4 linked regions of the Tamandua tetradactyla genome follow. The protein of the gene in region 2 interacts with the protein of the main gene of each other region in a pairwise test. Links are inferred from orthologs where the notes say so. Each region holds a gene or a part of one and is shown on either strand. Other genes may lie near its edges. The genes, in order: SSC5D, NECAB2, KLC4 and KANSL1.

What was found.
Region 1: the proteins of NECAB2 (region 2) and SSC5D interact in binary tests that used the Homo sapiens proteins (3 or more experiments, as listed by UniProt). The two-hybrid records come from large-scale screens. The link is inferred for Tamandua tetradactyla from reciprocal best matches to the Homo sapiens genes NECAB2 and SSC5D.
Region 3: the proteins of NECAB2 (region 2) and KLC4 interact in binary tests that used the Homo sapiens proteins (3 or more experiments, as listed by UniProt). The two-hybrid records come from large-scale screens. The link is inferred for Tamandua tetradactyla from reciprocal best matches to the Homo sapiens genes NECAB2 and KLC4.
Region 4: the proteins of NECAB2 (region 2) and KANSL1 interact in binary tests that used the Homo sapiens proteins (3 or more experiments, as listed by UniProt). The two-hybrid records come from large-scale screens. The link is inferred for Tamandua tetradactyla from reciprocal best matches to the Homo sapiens genes NECAB2 and KANSL1.

Annotation. Positions count from the first base shown.
Region 1 is NC_135342.1:4,243,783-4,251,455, reverse strand, and holds the start of SSC5D (soluble scavenger receptor cysteine-rich domain-containing protein SSC5D), read left to right. Parts: upstream 1-4,643; 5' UTR 4,644-4,720; coding exon 4,721-4,745; intron 4,746-5,262; coding exon 5,263-5,289; intron 5,290-5,535; coding exon 5,536-5,844; intron 5,845-6,039; coding exon 6,040-6,153; intron 6,154-6,367; coding exon 6,368-6,481; intron 6,482-6,818; coding exon 6,819-7,127; intron 7,128-7,673. Other genes in the region: NAT14 (putative N-acetyltransferase 14), read left to right, coding at 1,381-1,452, 2,706-3,254.
Region 2 is NC_135342.1:78,661,748-78,669,486, forward strand, and holds the start of NECAB2 (N-terminal EF-hand calcium-binding protein 2), read left to right. Parts: upstream 1-4,589; coding exon 4,590-4,799; intron 4,800-7,739. Other genes in the region: OSGIN1 (oxidative stress-induced growth inhibitor 1), read left to right, coding at 2,004-2,952. UniProt on the Homo sapiens protein: May act as a signaling scaffold protein that senses intracellular calcium.
Region 3 is NC_135331.1:100,636,076-100,643,524, reverse strand, and holds the start of KLC4 (kinesin light chain 4), read right to left. Parts: upstream 3,277-7,449; coding exon 3,219-3,276; exon of another isoform or gene 3,151-3,218; intron 3,002-3,150; exon of another isoform or gene 2,929-3,001; intron 2,920-2,928; exon of another isoform or gene 2,800-2,919; coding exon 2,742-2,799; exon of another isoform or gene 2,659-2,741; coding exon of another isoform or gene 2,630-2,658; exon of another isoform or gene 2,282-2,629; intron 1,597-2,281; coding exon 1,314-1,596; intron 836-1,313; coding exon 605-835; intron 1-604. Other genes in the region: MRPL2 (large ribosomal subunit protein uL2m), read left to right, coding at 3,275-3,644, 5,522-5,663, 5,777-5,892, 5,969-6,079, 6,356-6,429, 6,640-6,852.
Region 4 is NC_135332.1:20,449,127-20,457,456, reverse strand, and holds the start of KANSL1 (KAT8 regulatory NSL complex subunit 1), read right to left. Parts: upstream 3,077-8,330; 5' UTR 3,002-3,076; intron 2,645-3,001; exon of another isoform or gene 2,506-2,644; intron 1,435-2,505; 5' UTR 1,290-1,434; intron 1-1,289. UniProt on the Homo sapiens protein: Non-catalytic component of the NSL histone acetyltransferase complex, a multiprotein complex that mediates histone H4 acetylation at 'Lys-5'- and 'Lys-8' (H4K5ac and H4K8ac) at transcription start sites and promotes transcription initiation.

The sequences.
Region 1 (7,673 bases), about 74 Mb from region 2:
CCCAGGCCCTGGCCCCGGTGAGGCGGGGGATGGCGAGACCAGCACCGGTGTGGTCCAGGATGTCCACTTCGAGACGCTGCAGACGGACGAGGGCTTGCAGAGTGTCCTGGTGCTGAGCGGGGCCGATGGGGAGCAGACCCGGCTCTGTGTGCAGGAGGTAGAGACCCTCCCTCCTGGGCTGGCCGAGCCCCCAGCCCCTGGCCCGCCAGGACAGAAACTCCTCATCATCCGCAGCGCTCAAGCCCCAGAGCTAATGGAGAGCAGCAGCCTGGGGGGAGGCCCGGCCACTCTGCAGCTGCTGGCCCCTCCCCCGCCTGGCCCAGGCACTGGCCCCACCGGCCTCCCCGTCAGTCCCACCTCCCAAATGGTACAAGTGGTCCCCGCTGGGGCTGGAGGCGTGGCGCAGTCGGGCCTGCCCTCCATCCAGATTGTGCAGACTCTCCCGGCAGTCCAGCTGGTGCACACTTTTTGAGGAGACCCGCTGGTACCCCCCGGCTCGTGTTCGGGCGGGCGGGAGTGGATTGTAGGCTGGCTTTGTTAATAAAGACTCAGAACCTTCTCTCCTTTGTTTGCTTTGGCGGGGAGAGGAGAGGGAGGGGGGAGAGGAGAGGGAGGGGGGAGGGGCGAGGTCACGGTCACAGCAGTGGCCTGGGCCCCTGGAGTCTTCGGTCTTGCACCTGTGACTTTTGGGGCCAGTCTTCTCTGGGGGCCGCTTCCCGTCCTTAAGAAGGACGCCTGTGTTTGAAGTCGCCCCGCCCTCATTTGAACAACGGGCGTGGGTGGGCACTTATCTCTAAGGGCGCCGCGGGCCCCGGCGCCCGGTGGGCTGGGGTGGACGGTCCCGGACAGAGCCGCCCGGCTCGGGCCGCCAAGTGCGGGGGCCCCGGCGCGGGTAAGTGCAAACCCGGGCGCCGCGTCCCCACCCCGGCTCGGCGCTCAACTCCAGCTCCGCGCCCGGGTCGCCTAGCAACGGGGCGTGGGGACGCGGAGTGCGCAGAGGAGGGCCGTCCCCGCTCCTTCCCCGGCACCCTCGGCCGTGTGCAGCCACCCCCGCTCCAGCCCGCGGCCGGTTCGCCCGGGACCCCCGCCGGGACGCTGGGCCGCGGGCGCTAAGGCGGGTGCAGGCGTTCCCCCGCGGCGCGAGGCGCGCGTCACTTCCGCCCGCGACCCTTCCCGACCCCGCCGCCCTGCCCCCGCCCCGGGCCGCCGCGACCCCCTGGACGGCCCTGCAGGGCCTCGCTCCCGCGGCGCGCGCCGGGAAGGGCTGGTCGCGTCGCGGCGGCCGATGTGGGAGCTGGCGCCGGTGACCCCCGGTTCCCGCTGACTGCGCGTTTCCCGCAGGCCCCACCGTTGTCCTGCCGGGCACGGGCCGGGGCTGCCATGGCCCCCGGCCACCTGTCGGTGCGGGAGATGAGGGAGGAGGAGAAGGCCCTGGTGCTGGAGATGCTGAAGGTGAGAGCCCGAGCGGGTGCAGGCCGGGGCCAGCCCCTGCCGCCCGGCCTTCCCCTCCCACCCCGCCGCGCGCGCCCCGTCCCTCTCGCCTTCGCCCTCCCCAGGTCTCAGCTACCCCGGCCGCGGCACCCACTGCCGTCCCGGGGCTCCTGGCTTCCAGCCTGCTCGGCCCGGCCGTGGCCCCCCCCTCCTGCCATCTCCAGGGGCCCGCCTTAGGCCCGGACACCCCCACCGGGCCCCCTTGGGACCGAGCACTCGCTGCCTGGAGGAGGATGCCCTGAGACCCCTCCGGGGTCACGTCCCTGGTGCCCACCAATGGGCCTGGATTGCCGTGGGGGCGGCGCCCAGTTCACCCACCCACTCACTCACCCCCTTTTTCATTTCATTCATTCATTCACTACTTCATTTGTTCATCCATTCAGTGGCTTATTCATTTGTTAATCCACTCTTCATTTATTCATTCATTCACTCATTACCCATTCCCTTCCTCACTTTTTCAGTCCCTAGCTCATTCATTCATTCATGCTTTCACTTATTCATTTATTCATTAATCCATTCTCACTTATCTATTCATTAAGTCACTCATTCATAGATTTGCTTATTCATGATTTGCTCATTCAGGCACTCACTTGGCCATTCATTCATTCACTGTTATCATTTGCTCACTCAATCATTAATGCTCCACATTCATTCACTTGTTTGTTTATTCATTTACTCATTCATGTGTTCACCAGTTCACTCATGCATTATTCACTAATTCACTCATTCATTCCCTAATTAACCCCTGCATTCAACACTCTCATTTGTTCATTCAACAACTCGCTCACTCACTAATTCACTCATCTTTTCACTGCCTGGCTCACTCACTCATTTATTCACTCACTCACTCACCCATTCTCACAACTCATCTATTTGTTCACTCATTCAGGCACTTATTTGGCAATTCATTCACTCACTCATTCATTCATTTATACTCTTGCCCATCCATTCATTCATCACTTGTTCATTCACTCATTCACTAACTCACTTGTTTGTCCATTCATTCATTCACTCATCCATTCATTTGCTCATTCCTTCACTCACCCATCTAACACCCAGTGCACAGAATTCTGTGAACAGAGCAGATGTGATCCCTGCCTGTCCCTCCACCACAGACCTACCACCTGCCTTCCCTTCTTGTCAGTCAGTCCTCCTACCGGCTGCTGCTGCCCACTGCCTCTGTCCCTGCCTCTGACCACCCCTCCCACCTGCAGGCCGGCGTGAAGGACATGGAAAATCGTGTGGCCCTGCATGCTTTGACGCGGCCGCCAGCCCTGCTCCTCCTGGCGGCAGCCAGCAGCGGTCTGCGCTTCATCCTGGCCTCCTTCGCCCTGGCCCTCCTCTTGCCCGTGTTCCTGGCAGTGGCTGCCGTGAAGATGGGCCTGAGGGCCCGGTGGGGCTCACTGCCTCCTCCAGGCAGCCTGGGGGGCCCCTGGGTAGCAGTCCAGAGTTCTGGTGATGTGTGCGGGGTCCTGGCTCTGGCCCCCCACCCACATGCGGGAGGCGGGGCCCAGGTCACCCGTCTCTCTGTCTCCCGCTGGCACCGCCGCCGGGGTGTGGGCAGGAGGCTGCTGGCCTTCGCTGAATCCCGAGCCCAGGCCTGGGCAGGTGGCATGGGGGAGCCCCAGGCCCAGCTTGTGGTCCCAGTGGCTGTGGCAGCTTGGGGGGTGGCAGGGATGCTGGAGGGCTGCGGCTACCAGGCTGAGGGGGGCTGGGGCTACATGGGGTACATGTTGGTGAGAGAGTTCAGCAAAGACTTGTGACTCCAACCGGCCTGAGAGCTGGGCTTGGGCCAGTTGCTCCCTTCACCACAGCCCTTTGGGGGAGGGTGAGTGGTCCCTCAGCAAATCCCCAACCCACCCAGGACTCAGAACCCTAAGGCCCACTGAGGGGAAGGGACCCACCGCCGCCTGCCTGACATCTGCAGTGTCGAGCATGTAGCGTTTGAGCCCCTCAGAGTGGAATCCCTCTTTTCCTTCCCATTCCTAGGGGGACCCCAGAGCTCAGCCAGTCCAACCCTCAGTTCTTTCTGCACTAAGAAATCTCCTGGTCCATTTGTCTGCAAAGCTCTGTTTGTGCTTCAGGCCTGGGAGAGATGTTTGTGGAGCAGGACGCCGAGCAAAGAGGGCTCCCAAGAGTTAGGTCTTGAAGGCCTTCCTGGGAATGGGCTGGGGCTGCCAGTAGAGGGCATGCACTGGGAAGTGGGGCTCTGGGGCCGAGAGGTGGGTGCAGGGCTGCTGCGGGCCCCTGGGCAGAGGAGCTGGAGAGCTGAGAGGGCCAGGAGCCCCCGCCCGCCCCCGTTCCTCCAGACCCATCTGGTTTTTAAGGCATTTGTTAATAAAGCCTGAGATTGCTGTGCGTCTGTCCCTCTCTTTGATGCCTTTTCCAGTCTCTCTCTGATCCCCCCATCCCCCCTCCGTCTGGCTCCTCCCTTCCCCAAGTTGACATTAATTGGTGTGGGAGGGAGGGCCTGGGAGAAGGGGGTGATGAGCTCACAGCAGCCTCGGTCCGCCCTTCTGACTCACAAGCCCCATTACCGAATTTTTTCCGCCTCACAGCTGCTGGTGCAGAGAGCGGGTCTGAGTATATGAGTGAGAGCTAGAGAGTGGAGGGTGCTGCTCCCCCATCCAAGTCTTAACTCTCAGCCCTCCCGCCCCCTCCCATTTTTCTCATCCTCTGGGACCACTCAGACGGAGGGAGGGCTTTGCAGTCAGATTGACTGGGGGGGTAGAGTGGTTCTGTCTCCTTTCCTAATCCGGAAGTCCTTCCTGCTGTCTGGCTGTAAGCCCTCTCACTGTACCAGGAGCCCCACATGAACCCAGCCCCCAGCCCCAGTGGTTAATTTGAGTCAGAACTTGACCCCCCCGCTACCGTGGTCAGCCCACTCCTCCCTGGCTGGACAGGAGAGGGGGCAGGAGGAGGGTCTCTGTGCCGCCTCCACTTCCACCCCTGTCCTGTCCGTTCCCTGCAGTCCGCCGCCCCCGACATCCAGAGCCTGGCCCTGGCTTGGACACCCTCCCGTCCGCTGCTACCCCCCCCTCTTCCCTGCCTCAGCCCCCGCTGCTGCCTCCTTGCCTCCTCGGCAGCCTCTCTCTCCTCCTGGCAGCGCGTCCAGGCCCTGCCTGCCCCTCCCCAGTCCAGGCGCTTCCCTCCCTGTGACCGCTGCCGCCTCTCTCGCCCGTGCTCTCCCCCTTTCACCCCGTCCCCGCCCTGGACTCTGTCTGCAAGCATGAGGGTCTTGGCCTGCCTCGTCGGTGAGTGACCGTTCTCCCTGAGGACTCAGGGGCCCGGACCCCAGCCCTCCGACCCCTTGGCTCATCAACTTTAGAGGTTCAGGCTTCTGCGACCCCAGCCCTTGGTGCTTGGGGACATGAGGACAGCCCGTCCTCCCTGCCCACCACCCGAGCGCAGTCCCAGCCCCACCCTCTCAGGGTCCCAAGCGACATGCCCCTTTCCTCTTCCCCCACCCTGACCCTGTGCAGGGGTCACCCAGTGTCTGATCTTCAGCTGTCCCCATAGGGGAACACAAAGGACCTCAAGCCCCACCCATCTCAGGGCCTGCATGCAACCCCTGCCCGACCCCCAACCCCGTCCGCCTCTGCCCAGAGTCCTGCTTCCCGGCAGCGGGTTTCTGGTTAAGAAGCGTGGGAACTGGGTGTGCACGTGTGTGTGCACGCGTGCGTGCCAGGGCATGCAGGGCAAGGGACCTGTCCTGGAGACAGGGACCCCTGGAGGCACCCCTCACTCGGGCCCACCCACCCTCCCTTCCAGCCGCTCTGATGGGGATCCAGGCTGTCGGTGAGTTTCCGAGCCCCTCCCCCTGTGCCACCCCATGTCCCCAGAGCCCAAGGGCTGGTGCTCTGACCCCTGCGTCCTCCGCCTGGAGCCCAGGGGCCCTGCCTCTAGCCTGCTACGGGAGCCGGGGCCCCTCAGCACTGCCCTCCCAATCATCCCCTGAGTTTGCATCCACTTGTGACCAGTGCAGCCCCAGGGCCGGGGTGGGGGCCCTCCTGGGGTCCGAGCCTCTCCTCCGTCCCCCTGCAGAGCGGCTGCGCCTGGCCGACGGCCCCCACGGCTGTGCGGGGCGCCTGGAGGTGTGGCACGCGGGGCGCTGGGGCTCGGTGTGCGACGATGCCTGGGACCTGCGCGATGCTGCCGTGGCCTGCCGGGAGCTGGGCTGCGGGGGGGCGCTGGCCGCCCCCGGGGGCGCCTTCTTCGGGGAGGGCGAGGGTCCCGTGTGGCTGAGCGAGCTGGCCTGCCGGGGCAGCGAGGCGCGACTGGGCCTGTGCCCGCACCGCGGCTGGAAGGCACACATCTGCTCCCACGAGGAGGACGCGGGCGTCGTGTGCGCAGGTGAGGGGCTCGCAGGGGCCGGGAGGCCACCCCTCAGTGCCGGGCCCTCCTGGGGCTCAGGGACCCCCAGCTTACAGGGGCTCCTGAGCCCTCGAGGACCCAGACACGCGGGTCCAGCCCTATCCCTCTCCCCAGGACCCCAGTGACCTCCTACCCCCCACCCCGCGCCTTCAGGGCTTCTCTTGTGCCCCACAGGGCAGCGTGTGGCCGGCTCCAGGGACGACTCCACTTCCCTCTTGGCAGGGGACCCCTGGCCCGGGCCCTCTGGGGGTTTCAATCTGGTGTCTGAGGTGCCCCCTGAGACTCACGGTGAGGATGAGGCAGCCCGTGGCACCCCCAGCTCTCTCCCCCCTTTGAACTTGGGGTCCCTGGGTTCCCCATCCAAACTGCGGGGGGGGGGGGGTAGTCCTTGGGCAAGGCCACTGGGACCGTCTGCTGCCACCTGGAGCCTGGCCAGCACCGCCATTCCGGGGGACGGGAGAGCAGCCGCCCGGCACCCCCCTCATGGCTGTCTCTCTCCCAGCGCCCCGGCCGGCCGGGGATCCCCAGAGTGGCCTGCGGAAGAAGAGCCCCCGGCCCCCCAAGCAGGCCAAGTCCACCCGCGCCCCTTCGCTGGTGACCGGGGCCCCCCGTCACGGTGAGGCCCCCACCCCCACGCGATGCTGGGTGCACGCATCCTAGGCCCAGAGCCCAGACCAAGGGGAGCAGGGCCCCCTCTTCTCAGTCTGCTTCCCGGGATGCCCCTGCCCGCACCCCGGGGGTTCAGGGAGTCAGGCGCCGTCTCCCACTCACTCACCCCCACCCTCTGCCTGTCCCGGGACCCGGGTGTCCTGCCCCACCCAGTCGCTGCTCCCTCCCCCTAACAGGAGCCCCCATTCAGCTCAGGCCTCAGTTTCCCCAGGTGAAGGGCTTGAACCTGCGTGTCCCATGCTGTGCGCAGATGAGGCACCTCGTCCCCTCCCTGTCCCCCCTAGAGCGGCTGCGCCTGGTCTCGGGTCCCCACGGCTGCGCCGGGCGGCTGGAGGTGTGGCACGCGGGGCGCTGGGGGACGGTGTGTGACGATGGCTGGGACCTGCGCGATGCCACCGTGGCCTGCCGGGAGCTGGGCTGCGGGGGGGCGCTGGCCGCCCCGGGCGGTGCCCGGTTTGGCTACGGCTCAGGGCCCGTGTGGATGGATGACGTGGGGTGCGGCGGAGGAGAGCAGGCCCTACGTGACTGTCCCCGGAGTCCCTGGGGTCGGAGCAACTGTGACCACAGCGAGGACGCAGGGCTGGTCTGCACGGGTACGTGGGGCGGGGGCCACGGGCATACCTGAGGCTGTCCTCCCGCCTTCCCAAGGGCTTGGGTCCCAGCTCAGAATCATCACACCCCTCCTAGGGAGCGCTCCAGCCCCCCCGACTTCCCTGCAGTTACCGACAGCCTCCTGGAGGGAGCAAGGGTTTTGGAATTGGGCTCAGCTCTTGGCCCCGTCCCATGGCCTTGGCCAGTGACCCCGAGCCATGGTGTTCCCCACAGTGCCACGGGAGAAGGTTTCGTGCAGACCAATGAGCATGTTCCTTCTCCCGGCCATCGTGCCATCCCAGCAAGGCCATGAGCCGGGTCCGTGTGTCCCTGCGCGCAAAGGTCCTGCAGCTCGCAGGAGTCATGCCCGCCCGCAGCCACCTGACCAGGTCCCTCTGTGCCCAGTGCTCCCCCAGCCCCCCTAACCGGTCAGGGGACCGTCTCTCAGGCCACCCCAGCCACCCCGCTGCCCAGTGGGCCAGCTTCTACTCCTTCTGCTCCCCTAGGGGTGGGGACATTGACGACTGAGCCTCAGGTCCTGGTGCTCC
Region 2 (7,739 bases):
TAGGGCTCCCCATGCCCTTTTGGCCCCCTCACTACTCTAAGCCTGGCCTGGGAAAACTTCTTTCCCTCTAGGTCAGCTCATAGTGTACACTTCCTTTTTTTTTTTTTCTTAATGTCTTTGCATTAAAAATGTTAATTACAGTAGAGAAACTTGAAGGTTGAGAAACAGGAAGACAACTCACCCAGCCCCACACTTGTCCCTAGCACTATCACATTTGGGTATATCTCCTCCCCATCTTGTTTCCTACTCCATCTCTGGCCATGCTGCCCACCTGTGGGCCCTGGAGAAAGAGTCATCTTGTTGCATAAAGGAATTCCAGCCCCTGCTCACCCTGGGGGACACGGTGGAGGGCGGTGGATGTGCCCTCATGAGAAGCTGTCCCAGGTGTCGCCACCATGCTGGCATGTTTCCTTGTATTAGGGCTGCCCTTTCTGTCCTGGGGGCTGTGACAGGGCCCTAGGGCCTCTTTCGCAACTCAGTGTCCAGCTCTGCAGGGCTTCACTGTCTGTCTCCTGAACACAAGGAATCTCTGACCCTAACATTTTGATAGGAAAACATCCAGGCTTGTGTGATGATGTGCTAACAGGCAGACGGGAACTTAAACTTCATGGACGCACATGCCCTTTTATATCTTACCTTTAAACTTCAACATCACATCCTAAGCATTTCACTGGTGACTGGGCAATGATTGCAACTGTCTGTTGACACGGCCACACAAGACTCCCAAGGGTGCACGGGCACCCTGTCTCCACTGAATACCTCACTGCATGCCGGGCCATGTGCTCAGACATCAGGGCCAAGAAGCATGCTCCCTTGGCGCTGTCCGGTTATGGAATTTTTAGGTTCTTCCCAATTTGTGGTTACCATAAATAACCCCATGGGTAACACCTTCTTAGGATAGTTATCCAGAGAAATAAGTTCATTTGCAGAGTTCAGGTTCCAGTAGCAGAGTGACCGAGGTGGGTTGGCCACAGTGGACCTGGCCTGAGTTTACCCTACACTGTGGCATTTCCCAGATGTTGTGTTGCATGTTGCATGTTATTCCACATGCAGTGAGCTCATCCTTAGCTGTTGCTCCACACACTGGGGAAAGTAACTTGCCCTATGTCTTGGTGCTGGGTGGAAGGAGGAGCTGGGATTGTCCCAAAGCCTCGAACTCAACCACTGGCTGCATGGGACCCTGCAGCCATTGCCCTCAGAAAGAGTGGCAATATTATAACAACAATAATCATAAACTGCCACCATTCTTATGATGCAGGCTGGGCACATTGCTAAGTGCTTTACATGGAGTATCTTAAAAATAAACTGGTTATTTGAATTGAAGCACAGCCCACGTCTAGAAAAGTACACAGCTCACCTGTGTACAGGTGGATGGAGAAAGCCACCCAGACCCCAACGCCCCTCCCTTCCCCTTCCCATCTGCCAGCCCATTCCTTCTCCCCAGAGGAAACCACTAATGACGTCCACCTCCATAGATCAGCTTTCCCTGGTTCTGCCCTTGATAAAAACAGACTCATCCCCTATTTACCCAGACTGCTAGTTAACCCTTTTGAGGTAACAACACTGGCAAGACCTATGTGTCACTGGCTCCCACCACATTCCATTCTCAGCACTTTATATGTAGTCTTCCCAGCACCCTCATGAAGAACGCACTGCCACCATCATCCTCATTGCACATGTGGGGAAACTGAGGCACAAAGCCCACCAGGGCAAAGCCGGGATTTGAACCCGGGCAGTCTGCTTCTGGAGTCCGCTGGCCCTCTCAAGCCCACCCTGCACCTCCGGCCTCTTGGGGTCGGGGTCAGGGCCCGCAATGGCTCCATTTTACCGAAAAGGAGCCTGAGACTCTGGGCAGCTGAACCTCTGGGCAAGGCCTGCAGCTGGCGCGTGGTGCAGCTGCTGTCTGAGCTGCAGGTCCTGCCCCTGTCCCTGCACCACCTATCCCCTGCCACGCCCCAGGAGGCTCCCTGACACCCCCTCCCCTCCTGCGTCCTTTCCCGCAGGGGTCTGCGCAACAGCCGGGCCACAGCCGGGGACATCGCCCATTACTACAGGGACTACGTGACCAAAAAGGGTCTGGGCCGGAGCTTCGTGTCGGGCGCCGTGGTCACGGCAGTGCGGTGGGGGGCGCCCCAGCCCGGCAGCTCCGGGGCCCAGGACCCCAGCCCCCTCTTCCAGGTGAGCGGCTTCCTGGCCACCAAGGAGCAGAGCCGGCAGCCCTTCTCCCTGTGCGCCCGCAACGTGGTCCTGGCCACAGGCACATCCGACAGCCCCGCCCGGCTGGACATCCCCGGGGAGGGCCTGCCTTTCGTCCACCACGAGCTGGCGGCCCTGGAGGCGGCCACGCGGGCGGGCGCGGTGACCCCGGCCTCGGACCCCGTCCTCATCGTGGGCGCCGGGCTGTCGGCGGCCGACGCCATCCTCTACGCCCGCCACTACGGCGTCCCCGTGATCCACGCCTTCCGCCGGCCTGTGGACGACCCTGGCCTGGTGTTCAACCAGCTGCCCAAGATGCTGTACCCTGAGTACCACAAGGTGCACCAGATGATGCGGGAGCAGTCCATCCTGTCCCCCAGCCCCTACGGGGGCTACCTCAGCCTCCCCCAGCACCAGCTGCTGCTCTGCAAGGAGGACCGCCAGGCCGTGTTCCGCGACCCCGCCGGCCACCAGAAGGTCTTCGAGGTCTCGCTGGTGCTGGTCCTGATCGGCTCCCACCCAGACCTCTCCTTCCTCCCCGGGGGCGGCGCCGACCTCGCTGTGGACCCCGACCAGCCGCTGAGCGCCAAGCGCAACCCCGTGGACGTGGACCCCTTCACCTACCAGAGCAGCCGCCAGGAGGGCCTGTACGCCATGGGGCCGCTGGCCGGGGACAACTTTGTGCGCTTCGTGCAGGGCGGGGCCCTGGCCGTGGCCAGCTCCCTGCAGAGAAAGGAGACCCGGAAGCCACCCTAGTGCGGGGCCCTTGCACCCTCGCACCTAGGCCCTGAAGAGGAGGGGAGATGACCCCAGCCCTGCCGGGCGCAGGGCTCCTCCGAAGACGCCCTGGGGAGCAGAAGACGCCTCGGCAAGCAGGAGTGGCGATCCCAGGCTGTCCCAGACTCCCGCCAAGGCCCAAGATGCAACGGTGGGCACAGGCCGGGGCAGGCCCAGACCCACGATTTGGGGTGAAAGCTGCCGGCATCAGCTGGGCTCCGACAGCCTTGTCCAGCTCCCCAGGGCCAGCTGTCACCCAGCCGGGAGGATTCCAGGCCCTGCTCCTTCCAGGTCCCAAATAAAACCAGCGCCTGCCTCCACTCGTGTCTGAGGACTCTGTTTGGGGTGGGGTCCAGGGCCCTGGGGCCCAGCACTGGGAGCTGGAAGGAAGCACCGGGCTGTGTGGGTGATTCCCTGGGTGAGGGCCATGGGCTGGGGGACCACAAAAGAGCAGGTACAAGGGCAGCTGTGTTAGAGAAGCAGGAGGAGAACTAGGACAGGAGTGGTCTGCTGTGTGGGGGGCGTGGTTCACAGACCCTGCCCACCGCACCAACCTTTTCCCTGCCCCCACTCCATTGTAGCAACACTGTCTCCATTCAGCCCATGCTGGAGCTTGCCACAGGGCCTTTGCACAGGCTTTTCTCATCTCTCTTTAATTTCTTCTCTTCCTTTGAATCTCTCCGGATAAGGACCACTTCCTCCAGGAAGCCTCTGCTGACAAGCCCCTCACACAGCAAGGCAACCCGTCTCCCCCTCCCCCATGGCCCTCAGTCCCCCTCCCCCCACTTCATAGCAGTTTTAATTGCCCATTCCAGTGACTGCCTCCACCCCATTGGATATAAGCTCCAGGAAGCCAACGCCCTGCCTGTTCTGTCCAGCATGAGATGGCTGGGCACGGGCCCTGGCACCTAGTAGGCGCTCCTTAACTATACCTTGAGATGGATGGATGGACAGATAGACAGAGTGTGCGGTAAAGAGGGTATTCTGGCGTGGAGACTGGTTCTGGGGCGTTGTGTAATTGGACGGGGGGACCTGAGAAGATCCGGGAGGGCAAGGGTGGGTGCCCGCTGGAGTGATGCGGGAGCCTGGGGCGCGTGGGCGCCGATCCCCGCAGCCGGCGCCGGCAGAGGGCGCTCGGGGCTCGCCGGACACCCGCGGCGGCGGCGGCGCCACCGGGCGGGGGCGGCGGTGGATGGGTGGTGGGTGGGAGGGGGTAGTTACCTCCAGGTGGCGGGGGTGGGGGGGACAGACTGTCGAGGGGTGTAGCCCGGCGGTACGTCCCTCCCCCAGCGCCCAGATCCCCACCAACCCCGCGCAGTCCAGCCGGGGTCCAGCCTCCAGGCCCCGCGCCCTGGTTGGGGGTGGGGCGGTGGACACGGGCACGTGGCTGGGGTCCGGGCGGGGCACCCCCTCCCGTCCCCCCTCCCGTCCCCCCCTCGCTGGCGCCGGCCCGTCCCCGCGGTGTCCGCGGCCGTGGGGGCCGAGGGAGGGAGGGCGGGGCGCGCGGGCGGGCGGGCTGGCGGCGCCGGGGAGGGGGTCGCGCGGGGGCGGGCCGCGGCCGGGCGGGGGTCGGCGGGCTTCCGGGCGGCGGCGGCGGCGGCGGCGGGCGCGGCGCGATGTGCGAGCGGGCGGCGCGCCTGTGCAGGGCCGGCGCGCACAGGCTGCTCCGGGAGCCGCCGCCGCAGGGCCGGGCGCTGGGCGGGCTGCTGCGCTGGGTGGGCGCCAGGATGGGCGAGCCCCGGACGCCGCTGGCCCCCGTCGTCCCGGTCGCGGACCCCGGCCCCGGCCCCGCCTCGCCGCGCGGGGGCACCGCCGTCATCCTGGACGTGAGTACGCGCCGCCAGGGACCCCCGGCGGGAGCCTCACGGCGGCCCTGCCCCGTCCCGGCGGGACCCCCAGGCCCCTTCTCTCTGAGCAGGGGACCCCCGGCCCATCGCCCTCGGTCGCCCGGAGCAGGACCTTCTTCACCCGCTCCCGCCGTCTCCCGGAACGCGAGCCCCCAGCCCCTCCACGTCCCGGGCCGCTCCCTTCCCCGGACCCCCCTCGACTTCTCGCTGTCCCTGTGTCAGGACCTCCGGGGCCCCTGGACCGGGCCGCCGTCCCCTTACTTTTGTCTAGCCAAGCGCCCATTCTTTCCCTAGCCCTGCCCCCCACCCTATACCCCTGTCCCTTCCCGACCCGGAGCCCCTGACAGCTGCCAGCCCCTCCTTCTCCTTCATTCCCATCCAAGTTGCTACTTTTGTAAGCCCCCACCCCCACCCCCAGCAACCTCCCGCCCCAGCCTCTCTTCTTCCTTCCTCTCCACCCCGAAGCCCTGTGTTCCTATTCCCAGATGAGAGACCCTTTTCCTCCAGCCCCTCTTTGAAAATGAAGCCCCCTCCTCACCTCCTGCCTCCCCCTCTCCTTTCCAGAGGATTCGAAGCACCCCCACTGCCCTGGGCTCCTCTGGACTTCTCCCCCATTCCACCCCCCCACTCCCTTCACCGTTCCCTGTCTCCCACCCGGTCTAGTTCACTTCATGGACCCCAGACTCATCCCTTCACCCACCCGCACCCCGCCATCCGCTCAGGGACCCACACTGCACCCCTCTGAGGAGCTTGCCCCACCTTCCCACCCACCCCCTGCCCTGAGAGGGAGGGTTCTTGTGGGTGGATGGCATGGGGGTGGAAGACTTCTCCCTGCAGAGGGGCTCGGAGGTGGAGGGGCTTCAGCCCCCTCCCTCCACACCTTGCCTTGACAGCGTGGGGGTGCAGGTGTGCGTGCCCCAGTGAGGGTCCCGTGTGTGTGTGTGTGTGTGTGTGTGTGTGTGTGTGTGTGTGTGTGTGGCTTTGGGGACGGGGGTTGGGAGTGCCTGTGAGAGTGTGTTGTGGGTTTCTGGGAGAGTTGTGTCTCTGTGAGTGTGTGCATGGTGGTGTGTGCATGTGTGTACAGCGGATCCCTGCGAGGGCGGGGAGCCTGGGTTTCCCCTCTCCCTCTCTCCCTCTCCTTCTCCCTCCTCTGCTCTCTCCTGGAACTGGAGCTGGGTCCGCGGCGAAAGGGCTGGCCAGCGCGGGGGGGTGCAGGGCCCTGAGCGCTTGTGGCACCTGTGGGCTCGCTGCAGAGTTGGTGGCCGCAGACCCATGCGGGCTCTTCCCGGGAATCCCATGCGGCCCCATCCCTGGGTCCTCTCCTCTGAGGGCGATGTGGGATGGGGGGTGCTCTGGAGGGCTCTGAGCTTCCATCTCCTTGTCTGTGAAATGGGGGAGGGGGCCGGGAACCCCCAAGTGCCTGAGCACATTCCTGGAGCTGACATGTCGGCTGCGTCCCTGGGTTTGTTTGGCCAATGGCGCCAGGCTCAGGGGAGGCTCTGGGGATCCCCAGGTTGGGACCCCAGCCTTGGGGGTGTGCCCAGTCAGGAGGAGGGCGATGGCATGCCCAGGCTGGGCTCTGAGGAGGGGCTGGGGTGGTCTGATAACTGCCCCCTTTTCTGCCCCAGCCACAGTGGTTCCTGTCGGGGAGCCAGGCTCAGGATTCTCCTAAAGGGTAGGGGGGTGGGGACAGGGCAGGAGCTGGCTCCCTAGGGGGTCTGGGGGCGTGTTTAGGAAGCCTTCCCTGAGCTGCTGCCTAGCTCTGACCACTTCTGGGGCCTGATAAGGACCAGTGGCCCCTACCCCCACTGCTTACAGGGAGGTGGGATGGGGAGGGCAACTCTCCTCTGCTCCAGGGCCACAAGCCTCCCCCCACCCTTTGTCAGTGCCCCTTAGCTGGCCCCACCCAGACCACCCCATGTCTCAGAAAAACTTGGGGTGCCTTGGGCAGGACATTGCCCCTCCATCCTCCTTGCTAAAATAAATCAGTTCAACTATGTGGGGTCCAGTCTGAACCCCAGATCCTTCTCTTTTATAAGCACACAAATCCCCCAAGTGCCTGTTTAAAATGCAAGTTCTGATTCTGAGTCTGTGTGGGGCCCTGAGATTCAGCATTTTTAACAAGCTCCAGGTGATGCTTCAGAGACTGGTCCTTGAACTCGCCCCTTTGTATAGCGCTGTCCTAGTGCACAGGTTTCAACATTGACTGCACCTGGGAAGCTTTAGAAATGCTGATACCTGGGCCCAACTGGAGACAGGCTGATTTCATTGTTCTGGGGTGTGGCCTGAGGGTTTTAAAAGCTCCCCGGGTGATTGTGGCATATGGGAGAAAGGGAGAAATTGCTGGGTCAGCTGCCTGTTGGGGGTTCCAGCCTGACCTTGATGGACACGGAGCAGCTCTGCCCCACGTGTGTGCAGGTGTGTGCATGGCACTGGGAAGGATGCGGGAGACAGCGTCCTCTGGTCCAGCCTCGCCCAGCTCAGGAGAGGTCCCCTGAGAAGAGAGTTGAGGCCGGCGTTTGGGCTGCCCTTCCCCCCTTCCCTGCTGGGTACACCAGGCGCCACCTTCCTAGCTCCTGACAGCCTGCTTCTCCCTGCACCCCACCTGATAAACAGCCGAGCCCTGACCCGTGGCGAGTCCAGCCGCTCCCTGGGCCTTGCCCCTCCCTTAGGTGCCCCTATTCACACTTGATTCACCCTCCCGGAGAAAACTGGGGCTCCCGAGGGCCTCAGGGTGTGTGGTGGTGGAAGGTGTGCCCGTGGGATGCTAATTCTGAGCTGGGTTGTTTGTGACTGGGCGTGTGTCAGTGGGTGAAGTGCATGGATGATGTGCGCACACCTGTGTGTGCACGCGTGTGTGTCGGCGTGGCTGTGGGCAGCTGGCAGCGCAGAAGGGAGTGTGGGCGGCGGCTTCCGCGG
Region 3 (7,449 bases), on a different chromosome or scaffold from region 2:
GAGCACGTGTTGCTTTGCATTGTCACATGTAATATAGCCTTGTACCTGCAGCTATATTATAATCTCAAGAAGGCAGGAATTCTCTTTTATAGTTCTTTACATTTCCCCTATGCACCTCTCCTTGCATTGTAAATACAGCACAAAGCCATATAAATGCCTGTTGAGGAGGGTTAAATTTCACACTTTTTTTTTTTAATTTCACACATTTTGAGAGCAAACTTTAGGAGGATCTTGCTCATCTGGGCTGTGCTTTCCCTAATTGTAACACTTAGGCCTCTGGATTACAATTGTCCAGGTGCTTGTCTGACTCCACCCTCCGCCCACACAAACCTATAATTGTGAGAGCAGGGACTAGCCTGCCTCATTCACTGTTGTATCTCCAGCAAAGTGCCCAGTGCCCAGTACGTAATAGACATTTAATTAAATGTAGATTGAATGAGTGAATACTGTTTCCCCCTTTCTGTCATGTCAGGACTGACAAAGGAATTCTCCCTGATGGGAAGAGGTTGGGCAGAGCTGCTGGTTCCCTCAGATGATGGGTCAATTGCCCTCATGTTTGTGGTGACTCCCAGCTGCCCATCCCCAGCCAGCCCTGCCTGCTCACCGTGGTGTGCCCATCCTCATCATACTGCCGCAGCTGCCCCAGGAACTCCAAGTGCTTCTTTTCCTCCTCCAGCTGAGCCACGGCCTGTTCACTGCGCTGCAGCCGCTGCTGGGTGCCTGCCAACTCGTCCCGGAGCCACTGGTTCTCCTGACACAGCCGCCGTACCTGAGCCCGCAGTTTCTGTTTCTCCGACTCCACTGTGCTGAGGTGGCTGGCTAGAGCTAGCATCACCTGGATGGGCATATCTAGTGAGCGCCAGCCTCTGGATGAGACTGCTCAAGGGCAAACAGGAGGAAAGCCTACTGGGAGGCAGCAAGACTGGCAGAGGCACAAACGGGCCAAGGGGTGTAGATGATGCTAGGGTGTGTAACAGTGGCCCTACTTTCAACATAAATACCCTGAATCCAATTTCTCACCACCTCCACTGCCACCACTCTGGACCAAGCTGTATTGCTTTTTTCTCCCAATTCGAATGTAAGCTATAAGACAGCAAAGATTTGTGGCTATCGGGTTCACTGATAAATCTCCAGTGACCAGAAAATGTCTGACATATAGGAAAGACTTAACAAATACTTACTGAACAAATGAACGAATGCAAGCATCTAGAATAAGGTGATTCCAATTGGCCCCAAACCTCCCCTCAGACTCTAGTCTGATACTTGCTCCTCTGTTCACTTTGGTTTGCATGGCACCACCTCTACCATCTCACCTGGGCCTCACTTAGCCCCAGCTCAATATTTTCCATGGAATGGCGCAGCTGCCGGGCCTTCTCATGCACCAGCCCTTCCTCATGGCCTCCCTGCTGCAGACACTCGATGGTTTGGGATAGGCTTTGCAACACAGCCTGGTGTTCACTGTGTAGGGCCTCCAGCCCCTGGGTCACCAGCCGAGTGCTCCCTAGGATCTCCTCCTGGCTCAGCCGATGCCCTGCAGGCTCATCCCGCTGGCCCAACACCAGGCCCGACATCCTTGCCAGGGAGTCCTTATCTGGGCTAGAGACAAAAACAGAATTCAGCTAGGGCAAGGGAGAACAAGAGAGGCTGAACTCTCCTTGGTTAGAGGGTAGCAGGGATCCAGGTACAAGCACGAGAGTATGGGTGACCCTCTGGCTTAGTCGGAGAGGGAGAGAGAAACCAGTGGGGAGGGAGCTTACAACACTAATCACAAAGCTATGGATGTGGGCAAAGACAGAGGGAGGAGGGAGGAATTGAGTTAGATGGAGAAAGACCAGAAGGAATGAAGATGTTTAGAACTAAAAGGGTTATGGACTTAGGAGCATTGCAGAAAGGGAGTTGGAGAGAGCTTGGGTTAGGAAAAAGAATCAGCAGGTGAGACACAGCATTACAGGAATCACAGAGGTATTTGGGAGGGCTGCAAACAGGGTTAGAATAGACAGGAGACATACAGAAAATAGTTCAGAGCTTCTGATAAAAGGGAAAGAATAGATATCAAAGTTAAATCATGGAAGAAAATTAAAAGAAGAAAACAGGAGCCTTCATATCTGAGAACTCAGGAGAAAGGACCCCAGAAGGTTCAAGGTCCTCTGGCTGTGTCACCCATGGAGCAAGACCTGCATCTCCAAAATTGGTCAGTTCTTTATCTTTCCCCATTCGCCTCCAACCCATACTTGCCACCCTCTCAAAATGGTCTTGTTTCTCAGCATTGAAATCCTCTTACCTGTATACAGAACTTCACTGCGGAGCTCAGGTTCGAGCCCGGAAGAAACTGTTCAGCAGCCAGGGATTCAGAAGGACCTGCCCTGCCCAAAGTCCAGAAGTCCAGGGTTCCCGCCCCCTCTCTCACCACTCATAGCCACCCAGAGGACAGGACATAGAGCCCCTCCCAGGGCAAACACGTTACCCTTGCCTACAGGTCTTCAAACACAACAATATCCCTCCCCCTTCCCCAGGACAGCCTCCCACCCCAGCCCTGGAGAACTACTTTCTCCCAAGAAGGGAGCGAGGGAGAGATCTGATCAGAGACCTAAAGAGAGGGGAGTATTTGGGAAAGGGTGAGGAGGAAGACCTGATCTTTCCTGGCCCAGCCACTTCCATGGCTTTGTTCCCCGGAGGCCAGGTTGGAGGAACTCTCTTGTCTCTGTCACAGTCACCTACTAACAGACTCTGAGAAGAGTCACCTTAGTTGCCTCCCAGTTGCCTGATGGTTCAGGGAAGAATGGCAGGTCTGCTGAGCGGCTGCGGGGTCACAGAGAAACGCGGCGCTGGGAATTGGTCTCCTGACTTGGGAATGGGGTTGAGGAGTGTCCCAGGCTGTTGACCAGTCCTAGGGCCCAGGGTGGGGGTAAGAGGAGATGGGCGGGGGCGGGGGGGGGGTAGTTCGAGTGGATGGCTGAGGTCTGCGTCGCGGGCTAGGACCCCACGGCCAGACAATCTCGAGGTCAGTGAGTCAGTTGGTCGCTCAGGGGGCGGGGCAGGCCTTCTGTCCGTCTGTCTGGATGCCGAGGGGCGGGGAAGAATCGGGGTGGGCGGAGTTTTGGAGCCGGTCTGGAATCGTATGAGGTCGGTGAGGGGGTTTGTTCATCTGTCCAGGAGTGCGGGAATATGATATGGCGGGGCCCTCCACACTGTGCCCAATAGTTAACTCTAAGACTCACCCGCAGTCTCTCGGTCTGGCTGCCGCCCTGGCCGGCACTGCCCCTTTAAATCCATCATGGCTGCCTCTCGAGGCAATTGTTTTGACGGCTCCGAGGGGCGGGGCCTGTTCCCCCGTCACAAGACATCGGAGGCGCCAGAGGATTGGCTCTGGCTCTCGGAGGAAAGGAGATGTGTATCCGGCTTGGTCTCCTCTTCTCTGCCCCCTTCTTTTGCGTCATTAGACATCGACGGCGCCGGGAACTGTTGGTGTCACCCAGGAGCGCGGCGCGGCCTGGCTACAGGTGAGAGTGGCGTACGGACTCCTGTGGATTCTGACCTCCCCTATGGCCCTACGGGCTCTGACCCGTACTCTGGGCTCCCTGAGCCTTTCGCCAGCGCCCGCCGCCACTCCCATCCCTTTCCCGAGCCTGCTCCCCGCCGCCCAGGTAATCTGCTACACCGGGAAATGAGGCTGTTTCTGTTCTGGCCTCTCGGGAGGGAGAAGCCTGGGATGGGAGATGGGGGATGCGAATCTGGCCAGGAGTCGCGCCGGCCGGTGACGTTGGATAAGTCACTCATCCTTAGCTTTCCCTTTTGTAAGATCGTGTTGCCCTATAGTGCCGCAGGTGTTTTTCAGACAAGATACTGGAGGCAAAAGCGCTTTGCAGATCTCCTATTGTACGATTTCAAAAATAAGTATTTACTGAGTGCCTACTATAAGCCAGGCATAAGTAATATTTATGAGCTTAAAATAAATGAACTGACAATCACTCTGTAAGTGTAGTTTTTACTGTTCCTATTTTACAGATAAGAAAACTGATAGCAGTCAAGGGTCACGCACCAAGTAGTGGAGCTAGCCAGTCTAATGTCAGAGCCTCAGCTTTTAACCATTATGCTACAAGGATGAGTTATTGCTGAGATCAGAGAAAGCAGGATAAGATACCAAGAATAAAGACCTCAGGTGAAAGTATCAGGGGGTCACTAGTGGGCTACGGGAATGAACTGGTGAGGCACAGGAAAGAGAGGTTGTAAACTTGCTCATCTGGAGTTATCAGCTGTGTATTTGGCAGATGGAAACACAAAATTAAAAACTAGACCAACCTAATCTTCAGTGTTGGGAGTCAGCATTGAAGACAAATGATCCCGCCACTCCATTTATATGTGAAAATTCCCAGAAACATAACATAGATGGAAAAATGGGATCAGTGGTGATGATCATATATGTTTCCTGGAGAAGAAGAGTTTTATGCCATATTTGGAAAGATATGCCTCAAGGGAAGAACATTCATTGAAGAAATACTTCAGAGGTGAAAATGTATTAAAGGAGGAGAGGCAAACAACACACATACATCTGAATAAACATTCTGCACTGGTATCTGTGCATATTGATGGGTGGTATGTTTGGACAGCTGGTTTGGGGCACTTTCAGGAACAAGTAGGCTACAAGCTAAAAATGGTCTGTGTCCTGTCCCTTGGTTCTCTGATGCTTCTCCTTCAATTAGCTTTCCTAGTTAAAGAGCTTTCTCTTTATCCCTAGATAATAAGCAATGCCTTCCTCCAGTCACCCTCTGCCTTGATGTTGCCCCCCTGCCGCCCAATCCTTACTTCTGTGACCCTCAATGCCAAGCTTGAATCCTGGAAGAGTCGTACCAAGTACACCATTACACCAGTGAAGATGAGAAAGTCTGGGGGCCGAGACCACACAGGTGGGAGTGAGGGCAAGAGGATTTAAGCAATAAAGAAGAAAAACATGATAGGACCCTAAGCAAGTATAGTTGTAAACTTATACCTTGTGGAACAGAGAAATGCAATCAAAAAGCATTTATTGGACTCCTTCAGCATGTAGAATGTATGTTGGAGTCAGAGTGGGATACAAAGCAACAGACAAGGTGGTCTGTACTTCTAAAGACAATCTAGATAAAGAAAACTAGCCATACACAGGAAATGCCATGACATTTTTCTTTACACCATTTGAAACTTTACAACAGTTGGAATTGTTGAGCACTGTTTTCATGTCTCAGTAAACGTACTGAATGTAGTAATTTGATGAGATTTTACACAATTTCAATATTTAATATCTTCCCTAATATGCTATGTTTTCATTTTTTTACTTTTCTTTGTTATATTTACCAAACTCCATGTAGGTACTTCCCCCCACTCCCCCTTACCCCAATATGCTGTGCAAATCTTTTTTTTTATTCAATTTCTACTTCTGCCATAATGTTGGGAAGCACTGCTATTGGCCAAAGGGTGGGCCTGTTCCCAGTACTGGAAGCTGAATTAGTCTGACCTGGTTCATGTCCCCAAACTGTCCTGACCACAGGCCGCATTCGAGTGCATGGCATTGGTGGAGGCCACAAGCAACGCTATCGCATGATTGATTTTCTGCGTTTCCGGCCTGAGAATGAGAGCAAGCCAGGACCTTTTGAGGAGAAGGTCATCAACGTCCGATATGATCCCTGTAGGCAAGTTTGAGATATGGGGCAATGATGGTATATCTGACTGGCTGCTCTTTGGCTTCTCAGAAGACACAGAGCTGCCTTGATGGCCTGCTCAACCATCCCTTACCATTGAACAGGTCAGCAGACATAGCTCTGGTAGCTGGAGGCAGCCGGAAACGCTGGATCATTGCCACAGAAAATATGCAGGCTGGAGATATAATCCTGAACTCTGATCACATTGGACGGATGGCAGGTGAGGAATGGTTGCCAGATGCATGTAGGCTGGGAGGATGCGGGAATTCTTGTGCTGATGAAATTCCATCTTTTAGTTGCTGCTCGAGAAGGGGATGCACATCCTCTTGGGGCCTTGCCTGTGGGGACCCTCATCAACAACGTGGAGAGTGAGCCAGGCCGGGGAGCCCAATATATTCGAGCTGCAGGTATGGAAAGAGATGCTGCCTGGCTCCCTACAATTTGGAAGGCCAAGACCTGTGATCACAATTCTCTGAACCCATAGGCCATTGACAGAAAGAAGGGGAAAACAAGGAAAATGAGGATGTGCTTATATTTTGACCTAAAACATTATATGCGTCCTGTTTCAGTGTATCTGCTCCTAAAAGACAGCCAGAAGTATGTGGGGTATGGCCCCTGTGTGAACCAACCCCTCCACCTCATCCTTTTTGAAGGGTGGCAAAGCTGCCTTCTCCCTTTTCCAGGTACATGTGGTGTACTGCTGAGGAAGGTGAATGGAACAGCAATCATCCAGCTGCCCTCTAAGAGGCAGATGCAGGTGTGTATGGGAAGGACCAGCGAAGGAGGAATTTTTCATATGTACCTTTTCTGTCCAGGGATGGCTCCCAGATGTTTTATGCTAGGAACTGCCTCAAGCTGGGTCTGCCCTTTTCTGCTACGTGATTTGGCATGCAAGAGTCCATGCCCTCAACATTATGAGACTCTTTCCTCCCTCTGTTCATTGTCCTCCATCTGTTTTCTTTGTCAGGTGCTTGAAACGTGTGTGGCAACAGTGGGCCGAGTATCCAATGTAGATCATAACAAACGGATCATAGGCAAGGCTGGGCGGAACCGCTGGCTGGGCAAGAGGCCTAATAGCGGGCTATGGCACCGCAAGGGGGGCTGGGCTGGCCGAAAGATTCGGCCTCTACCCCCCATGAAGAGTTATGTGAAGTTGCCATCTGCTGCTGCCCAAAGCTGATAATTGATATCCCTGGAATCTAATAAAGTGGTCTCCCTCACCTATTTTTATCTGTTGTTTTTATTGGAGGGGAGGGTATGGACTGGACCAGGGGAGAAAAAGACAGAAGCGTTGGGTGAATAGAAGGAAAACGACCAATTGTTGCAAAGACTGGGGCTTCCCCCCGAGTTCCTTTATATGCAGGGGAGGATGGGGGAATAAACGATCTCCGAGGTCTTCCCCAGTTCTGACTTGCGAGAACGGGGAAGGGACTTCCGGCGGCAGGAGGGAGGACAAAAAGGAAGAGGAAAGGGCGGCGCGGAGGAGGAGGAGGTTCCGTGCGTCGCCGAGGTGGCACTCGCGGCCCCGCCCGGACGCTGTCCTCCCAAGGCCCCTCATTTTCCGCTAGACCCGCGGAAATGGTCCTCGGCTCCGGGCGGGCAGCGAAGCCCCGGAAACTGGGCGAGTGGCGCTGCTGGCCGCGGCCAGGCCCCGCCCCATCTCTGCAGCCGCCGATCCCAGCGCGCGGGTGATGACACTCGCCGGGCACCAGGGCACTGGATCCGCGCGCCACGCCCCCTGCCCGCGGAGGCACGCCCCCTCCCTCCTCGACCCTCT
Region 4 (8,330 bases), on a different chromosome or scaffold from region 2:
ATATGATCCCAATATCTTTGGGTTTTTGAAGGTACTAGTTATTAACAAAAGGCTAATAATCCCTTGTCTGCTTCCTAATGACCAGAGTGGCCACCAGGTCGTGGCACTAAACACTCCATCCCAAAGAGAAACACTCTGGTTCGAGGTCCTCCAATTCCTATGGGTTCAGGACTTCTGGCTGGAGCTCCAACTCTATGGGAGAATAACTGGAAAAAGTGTGTCACTTTGGCTTCTTTCATACTAATAAAATCACTCATTATCCTAAGTGCAGCTGTTAACATAAATGAAGATAAGAACTCAGTCTACATTGCCTAAAGATTTACCACAAGTCCAAATATTTAGGTTACACAGACTGCATTCTCTGATTTACCCATTGCATACATTTGGAATTCCACACACCAGATTACCAAGGAACGATCTCTATACTAGTATCTAACTCTGAGGAAAGACAAGCTGTGTCACCTGGGGAAGCTTCCGTCACTCATCTCTCTCTCCCTATCCTTCCTCCCATTTTCCTCCCTTCATGTTCTAAGCTTTGCCTTCTCCTTAGTCTTAATGGAAAGTCCTTTGACCATTTATATAGAAGGGATGGGAAGGAGGCAAGAGACTGAAGAACCATCATACCAATGAGAGCTTTTTCATCTAAAGGCCATTCTGCCCATACAGTCCAAATGAGGTTTACCTGTGAGATAAACTAGGCACAAAATGCTACCTGTGAGGAAAACAGCATAAAATCTCACGCACAGGACTAGGGAGCAGAAGCAGGAGTCCCCAACAGAGCTGTCCACATAGACCAGCATGCCTCAGAATGTTCTAATATACTATGAAGTTTCAGAATAAACAAACAGTTAATGACACATCTTTTGTAACACATGAATCAGCTACTGATTTGCAAGAGTGGGCGCACCCTAATACCTATGACTCTCAAGTACCTGTTTGAAAGTGGACCATGATGTCTAAATTGCCAACCCATCCTACTGGGACTGGAATGAAATTTTAGAACTATGTGGTCTGTCATAATTTAAAGTAAAAAGGATGAACACATCATTACAATGGAAGTTAATTTAAGAACTTCATTAATATGTTATTACCAATAATCAAGAGAAGTAGCAAATACAAAATGAGGAATAATCAATCAGTCCTAGCAAGCAAGCACAATATTAATTTTTGACAGGAGAGGAGTACCACATGAGGTGGTTGAAGAATAGCAAATTCAAGAATTAGAAAGTTCTCGATTCTAAATAAAAAATAAACAAAATGAGGCCAATAGTGGAAAAATACTGTCTTACCTTAAGAGGCATCCAAATAGCATTCATAGTGTCAGGAACAGTGCAGGCAATACCCAAAAACGAACAAGAAGGGAGTCTTAGTAATTCCCTTAGATTCACCAAGTATGAGCAGGTAGGAAAAATTTTTATTGTTTCAGGAAGATATCTGAAAGAGAGGACTTTCACTTAGATTAAAAAATGCAGAAGAATAAGCAAACAGTTTAAGCTTCCTGGGCAGAGATTTGAAGTACTATTTGCCTTACTTTTCTAAAAAGATGTACAAAACACACTTGCCTTTTGAAAGAGGGCATCTCTCTCTCTCTCTCTGTATTTATATACATACACACACATACATATACATAGTTCAGATAAAAAGAGAAATTAATATATAAAACACATTTTAGATAAAATGAAATTGCTTCTCACAGAATATAGAAAACCAAAATATAAGTGAAAAGTAATGATTATCCAGGGCATTTCATCAACATAATTAAAAAATTTAATATCCTAAAAATGACTTTTGACACATTTAACTTAGTAAATTAAAATCTCTCTGATCATTCAGATTGTCCTACATTTTATTCAGCTTAAATGTAATTTCAGAGAAGATTCTACCTGAAAAATAAAATGTATTCTTGACTAAAACATTGTCAGCAAATAAAAGACCCTTCTTCACTATAGATCATTAAAAGCAGCCCAAACAATTTAATTTTAAGGATGAGAAGGGAGGCAAGTTTGCCCGGGGTCAGGAGGATGGACTGAATGCCCTCTTGCAGGATCCTAGGCCTGAATGAAATTCCAGCTTAACCAGTTACTGCTTCACTTAAAATGGAGGCTTGCCCGAGTAGGGACAAAAATGACAGCACCCACCTTTGTAAAAATAAATTTCGAAAAATCAAAGGCTAGAGAACTCCCATTTAAAGAAAATTAAAACCTTTGGAGTGGATTTATTCTTAACTATGCGTTTGTCACTTCGGCTTGGAAGACTTGGCATCACTTTCCTTACTGCTCATCGTATTTTTTTTTTTCCTTTGGGGGTGGGAGGGGTGAGGGGAGTTTGACTCTCGACCCAAGTCGCAGTCGGGTTTAATATGCCCTCCCACGATCCCTACCTCAGAAGCATCGGGAGAGAGAGACCGGGAGTCCGAGTTCCCACCCCTCCCCCCACCTTGGACCCTTGTCCCAAACCTAAGCTCCCCCCACCCCAACCTTCTCGCAGTGGGGCGACTCGTCTTGCCTTATTCCCGTGGTTAAGGAAAGGGCGAATGGGGAGGTGGGCTCAACGTGGGGGTCGCTTTCGGCCGTTGCCCCGCTGGCCTCAAGAGGGGCGGCCCGCGGGATGCAGCTTCCCTTCCTCTCCGCGTCGGTCCGTCCCACCTCGGCTCGGCCTGGCGCCCCGGGCTCTGCTCGGTGTCCCCGGCCCCGGCCGGCCCCCGGGCAGCCAGACCCCTTGACCATTCGGCCCGCGGCGCGCCGCCCAGGCCTGCGGGTGGACGCGGGGTGAGGGTCCCTGTGCCCACACACGCGTCCCCGCTCCCCCAGTCCTGCCGCTGCCAGGGCCCTCGGCGGCGACCGTTCCCCGGGCCGCTCGGCCCCCACCTCCAGGCCGGGTCGCCACGTCGGGCTCTCCCCGTCGGGGCCACCTCCCTTTCCCCACCATCACCCCCACCCACTCGTGCCCCTACCCCCCGGGGTACCAGTGCCAACGGCAGCTCCCCCAGCCCGGGACCTACCTGCACGGCTCAACCAAGCCTAGAAGTGGGGGCGGGGAATCTTCCGCCCTCCTCCGTCTCTCATTGGCCCTTCCGGGGCCCATCATGAGCACCATTGGCTGATGGCGGGTGTCCATCAGAGCGGCGGGGCGGGACGGAAGGAGGAGAGGGATGCTGATGCCTCGGCGTCTCTGTCTCTGTGTATCTCGCTGTCTCTGTCTCGGCCTTTGGAAACCAGAGGCGTTTGGACGAGAGGACAGGAAGGGGCCCTGAGATGGAGGGAACAGACGGAGGGAATACTGGCAGCGCTTCACACCAGTCGGCCAGTCGGAACCCCCTACCCAAGTCCCCTTTAGGTCCTCTTCTCCATCACCCCCAGCTCCTGCTCCTCACCCCTGTAGGTTTTTCATCCAGGAAGCTACGTGATGAAAACTCGAGGCCGGAAGGGAGAGATTTAATGTATGGGGGAGATTTAATATATGTATGTAAATATATACACACATATATATATTTATATAGATATCGATATTATGGCTATAAAGATACATGCGTACGTGTGTGTAGTCAACCAGGTATAAGGTCATGATAGCCTGAAGAAGAAAGGGCACACATTTCAGAGACAGAGAAGAACTTGAGCTATAGCCAACATAAAAAGGAATAAAAAAAAATCAATCAAAGAGCTGATAACAGTGGTTCTCTCCTGGGAGGGGAGATGAAGCCTCGGGAGACCAAGTGGGAGAAAGACTTACGTCTCACATATCACCTTAGTTATTCTTTTATATCTTTTGATTTTTGTACCATTCACGAAAATTGCCAATTCAAAGAAAATTAATTGGTTAAAAATTTCAAATAATTCTAAGGTCAAAAAACTAGGGAAATAGACAAGATGGTTGTCCAGGAAATTTAGGAAAATGTGCAGCTTTGGGGAGGAGTCTTAGTTTTTAATACTGCAGTTCAAGATACCAGTGGTAAAACCAAACAGAGGTGACTCAGAGGCAGTTTAGGGTTATGGGATTTATGAGCAGATGAACAGACTGGATTCAAAAAGGTTTAGGATTCTCCACCTAAGTATAGTGGTTGATGATATGCTGAAGGATAAATTCCCCCCAAAAGTGTAAAGACAGCTGCATTTAAAGTTAAGAGTCTGAAAAAGAATCAGAAAGAGGGTCAGTCAAGTAAAAGAAACAATATTGAAAACGAATGAAAGTTAAGGGAGGGAGGGTATCCAGAAAAATAGGCGTGAGGCTTACTTTGGGCACGCTCTTTAGGCAACCATGTGACAGTAAGAATGAAAGCCAAGAAAACATCCATAAAGCAGGGTTTTTAATTTTGTCCATGCATGGCAAAGCATGTGGACCCCTTCTCAGAGTAATGTTTTTAAAGGAATTCGAAGGAAACCAATCATATTGAGATACAATTACTAAAATATTTTAAAAGTGTGATATAATAATGTATGTGCTTTTATTAATGCATTAAATAAGACCTAGCAGAGAGTCTAATGACTGCCATAATTTTGAGCTAGTGAATGAGCATAAATGGTATTTCAAGATATCTGCAACTGTGATATAATATGAAAATATTTGTGCTTTCTCTTGGAGACAAGATCACTGGTCCTGTTAATGCTCCTGTGATATCTTGTCTACATTCATGACTGAAGGAAATGCTAACTTTCTGTTAGACTTTAGTAAATTCGTGGTCTCCCAAATCTGTATACCACAGATTAAAGAACCCTACCCTAAGAAGATCATGTTCCCCAATCTCCACATGTCCACAGCGGCCTGGAACTTGTCTTCGCCCCTCATCCTTGTTCCTCTCTTCCTCTTCCCCACAAGCTCCAAGCACTCTTCACTTCCCAGTCCTGAATGCAGATGCCTGACATCCCTGTGACACAGGGGACAAGGGATCATGTGGAAGGATTGCAAGAAAGATAGAAACACATTGGCTTCCAAAGAAAAAAGAGAAAACTATGAGGTATATTCAGATCAGAGATGATGGGGAAAATGAGCCCAGGATAGGATATCATTCATTCCCAAGAAGGAAAACAAATTGTAAAAAGAAAACATCTTTATCAGTTATGAATTTTTTCTATGAGTTTATTAATTCTGCTTAGAAACACCTTCCATCAATCTCCTTATTTCATATACCTGTAAAATGGGGTGAAAAATAGTACCTACCTCTTAGAGTTGTGCCAATTAAAATGAGTGAATTCATATAATGGATTTAAAACACTGTCTGGCACAAGCTAAACACACAATTTTTAACAATCATTATTATTATATTTGGCATCTTGTATTGTAGAGCATTCATGAAAATGCTGGTATGATTATCCACATTAATGTCACGTACAATAACAGATTAAAAGCGATAAGAGGGTTAGCACAAAACACTGTTTTTCATTTAAATGCTTCAAAATTAGAACACTCCATTTCTTCCGGTGACATTTTCATTCCTCTAGGGAGAATATCCATGCTTCTTTAAAAGGATTGTAAACTCAAAAAGAACTTTTATTATTCATATTACAAAGGGCTAATTTCAATAATGTTGTATATGACTTTCTCCTACAAATAATAAATAAAGACCAGCAAATCCTTTTACACAGGTGGCAGTATTAACTGGTACAGCCATTTTGGTACAATCTAATAAAATTTAAGATATGCATACCCTAGGTCCCAGCAGTCCCACTACTAGATACATATTCTAAGGGAATGCATAGTTTTAAATATCAGGATTACTGTCAAGAATATTCACAGCAATGTTTTTCCTTATTACCTAAAACTGGAACTTTCCCAAATGCCTACCAAACATAAAATGGATCAATTGTGCTATATTTGTACAAAGAAAATTAACAAATTATGGTTATGTTCAACAACATGGATGAATTTTTACAAAGGTAACATTGAACACGCACAAAAGCAAACTATGAAAAATATGTATAGTATGTTTCCACTGATATAAACTTCAAAAGCAAGCAAAACTATATTATTTAGGGATAGGTGGTAAAATTATAAGAAAAAGCAAGGAAGTGAACACCATAAAAGTCAGGAGAACCAGTAGGGGTAGAGGGGTTTGTGTTTGACGGGTCTTGAGGTGGAGGGGGTGAGGGGTAGGGGGCTGTTCTACAGGGCTGGCAATATTCTATTTTTTCACCAGGGTGTTGAATACACAAGTATTTTTTCTATAACTTTTTATGTACAAAAAAAGTTTTATATACTTTTATGTATATATGTTAAATTTCACAATAAAATGCTAAATAATAATTTTTTTAATGTTTAGAAAAATGGACAAAGGATATGATGGAATTTAATTTTTTTTTCATTTAATTTTTTTAACCTGGGTTGGCCATCGCCACAAGTAAAGGACGTGACAGTAGAAAGGAAAGAAAGAAAGAGACGACGAAGAAACAACAGTACAAGCAGCTTAGGAGGAAAAACACGAAAAGAGCTGTAGACATCCCGGTCTGGTAAAGAAAAGAAGCATAGCAGGAGAGCAAGGAAAAAGCAAGTCTGTCAGTTCACACCGCAATTGAGGAGGGGGTGCACCGTTTCTGGAAGTACTGCAATACCAGGTCGATGAGTGGAGTGGACGGAGCAAGCTCCTATTCCATCTCCCAGCTCCAAAAATCCATTTAATATATTGTCCTCGGATAGAGGACGTATCAGACATTAAACTGATAAGAACAGATACTACACTTGATCTTAGCCAAAAGGCCGAGACGCGATATATGATGGAATTTAACAAAAAAAAAATATGAATGACTCAAATAAAAGATGCTCAACTTCGCTAAAAGACATACATGTGAAACTCCACTGAGAAACTTTTTTTTCCATCTAAGGTCACAAAGATAAAGTTTGCCAACACATTATGTTGGCAAGGCAGTTGGGGAAATAGGCATTTTTGTAAATTGCTGGTGAAAATATAAATTGTTACAACATCTCTGGAGGACAATTTGACAGTAGCCATCAAAATTATAAATGCAGATGCCCTTTAATTCAGCAATTCCACCTCTAAGAGTTTATTCATTCCTCAAATATGTATTAAGCACCTACCATGTGATAGGTAACGTTGTTATGCCTTGAAGTTTATCCTACTGACATACTCTCTGAAAAGTCTGGACACACGAGGATGTTTACTTCATTATCATCACAGAGTTGTGCATGGGGAAGAAGGCTTAAATCTCAACGCAGAATATAATTAAGATTATGTCAGAGCGTTTAAATAAAATGAAAAAGTATAATATTTTCCCTGCTGCCAAATGTTTAGATATCCTGTATATACACAGTTAACAGGTTTGGTTTTTAACAAACAATGTAAGCAAAATATGGGGAAAATAATACCTAAATGCCCTTCATTAAAAGACTGGTTAAATAAATTATAGTTTGACCCCCCACTCCATCACCAGGGTGGGCAGCACGGGCTTTGAGACCTGTGCAATTACGCAGGCCCCTGTGCTCAGAAGGGACCCCGGCTTGGTTCAATGTTCAGCTTGAAAATCTTTCCTGAAAATTCTTAACAATGTTATTTTTGAACTTGTCAGATGGGACATTGTGTGTGAGTAGAGGAGATCCAAGCAATTAGAATGTCACCATTCCTTGCCACCCCATTTAACTACAGCGTTTGAGATGCCGGGAAAGCACAGAATATTGGTGGACCCGTGATAGTCTGGAAATTGTGCAAGATTCAAAGTCAGTGCGAGGTAAGCTGGTCCATCAATCACTGAGTAACCCGGATGCTGACTGCTCCCAGAGGCGGTGCTTTCCCCACTTGCTTCCAAAGCTGAAAGACGGTGGCGAGCTAAGATACTTAAAAGGACCAAGGAACCGTGTCATCTCCTTTTTTCACTCATGTTATCTTCCTAACTTAGCCAGCCACTTATGAAATGATGACATAAAGGGAAAAGAAAGGACAACCCACAGTTCTTGCAGTCTTTCTTTACAAATAAGTAAGCTGAAGGTAGGGAGGATTGGCAGAATCTGCACCAGTCAAGAAGCGAAATCAGAACAGTTGGGTTTGTTTTGTGCAGTATTTCCACTGTTCTAGTAAGAATAAAACACATGTGCAAGTATAAGCCACAAAACACAAATCATATAATTTTGGTGTTTCACATAAGTGAAGTGCTCTACTAAAACTGAAAACTGACATTGCACAATACAAAGATAGTAAAGTTCATGCTAGTGACTTAAAGTTTTAATTTTTCTTTATTTTGAATGACATTAAATAGCAAATGAAAAACATCGTGACAAGTCAAGAGAAAAAGCAGAAAAGAAAGGAAAATGTTTTATATTTGAGTGCCTTTAATGGCACATTTTTCCTGATCTTTGAACAAAGGGTGCTGCATTTTCGTATTGCACTA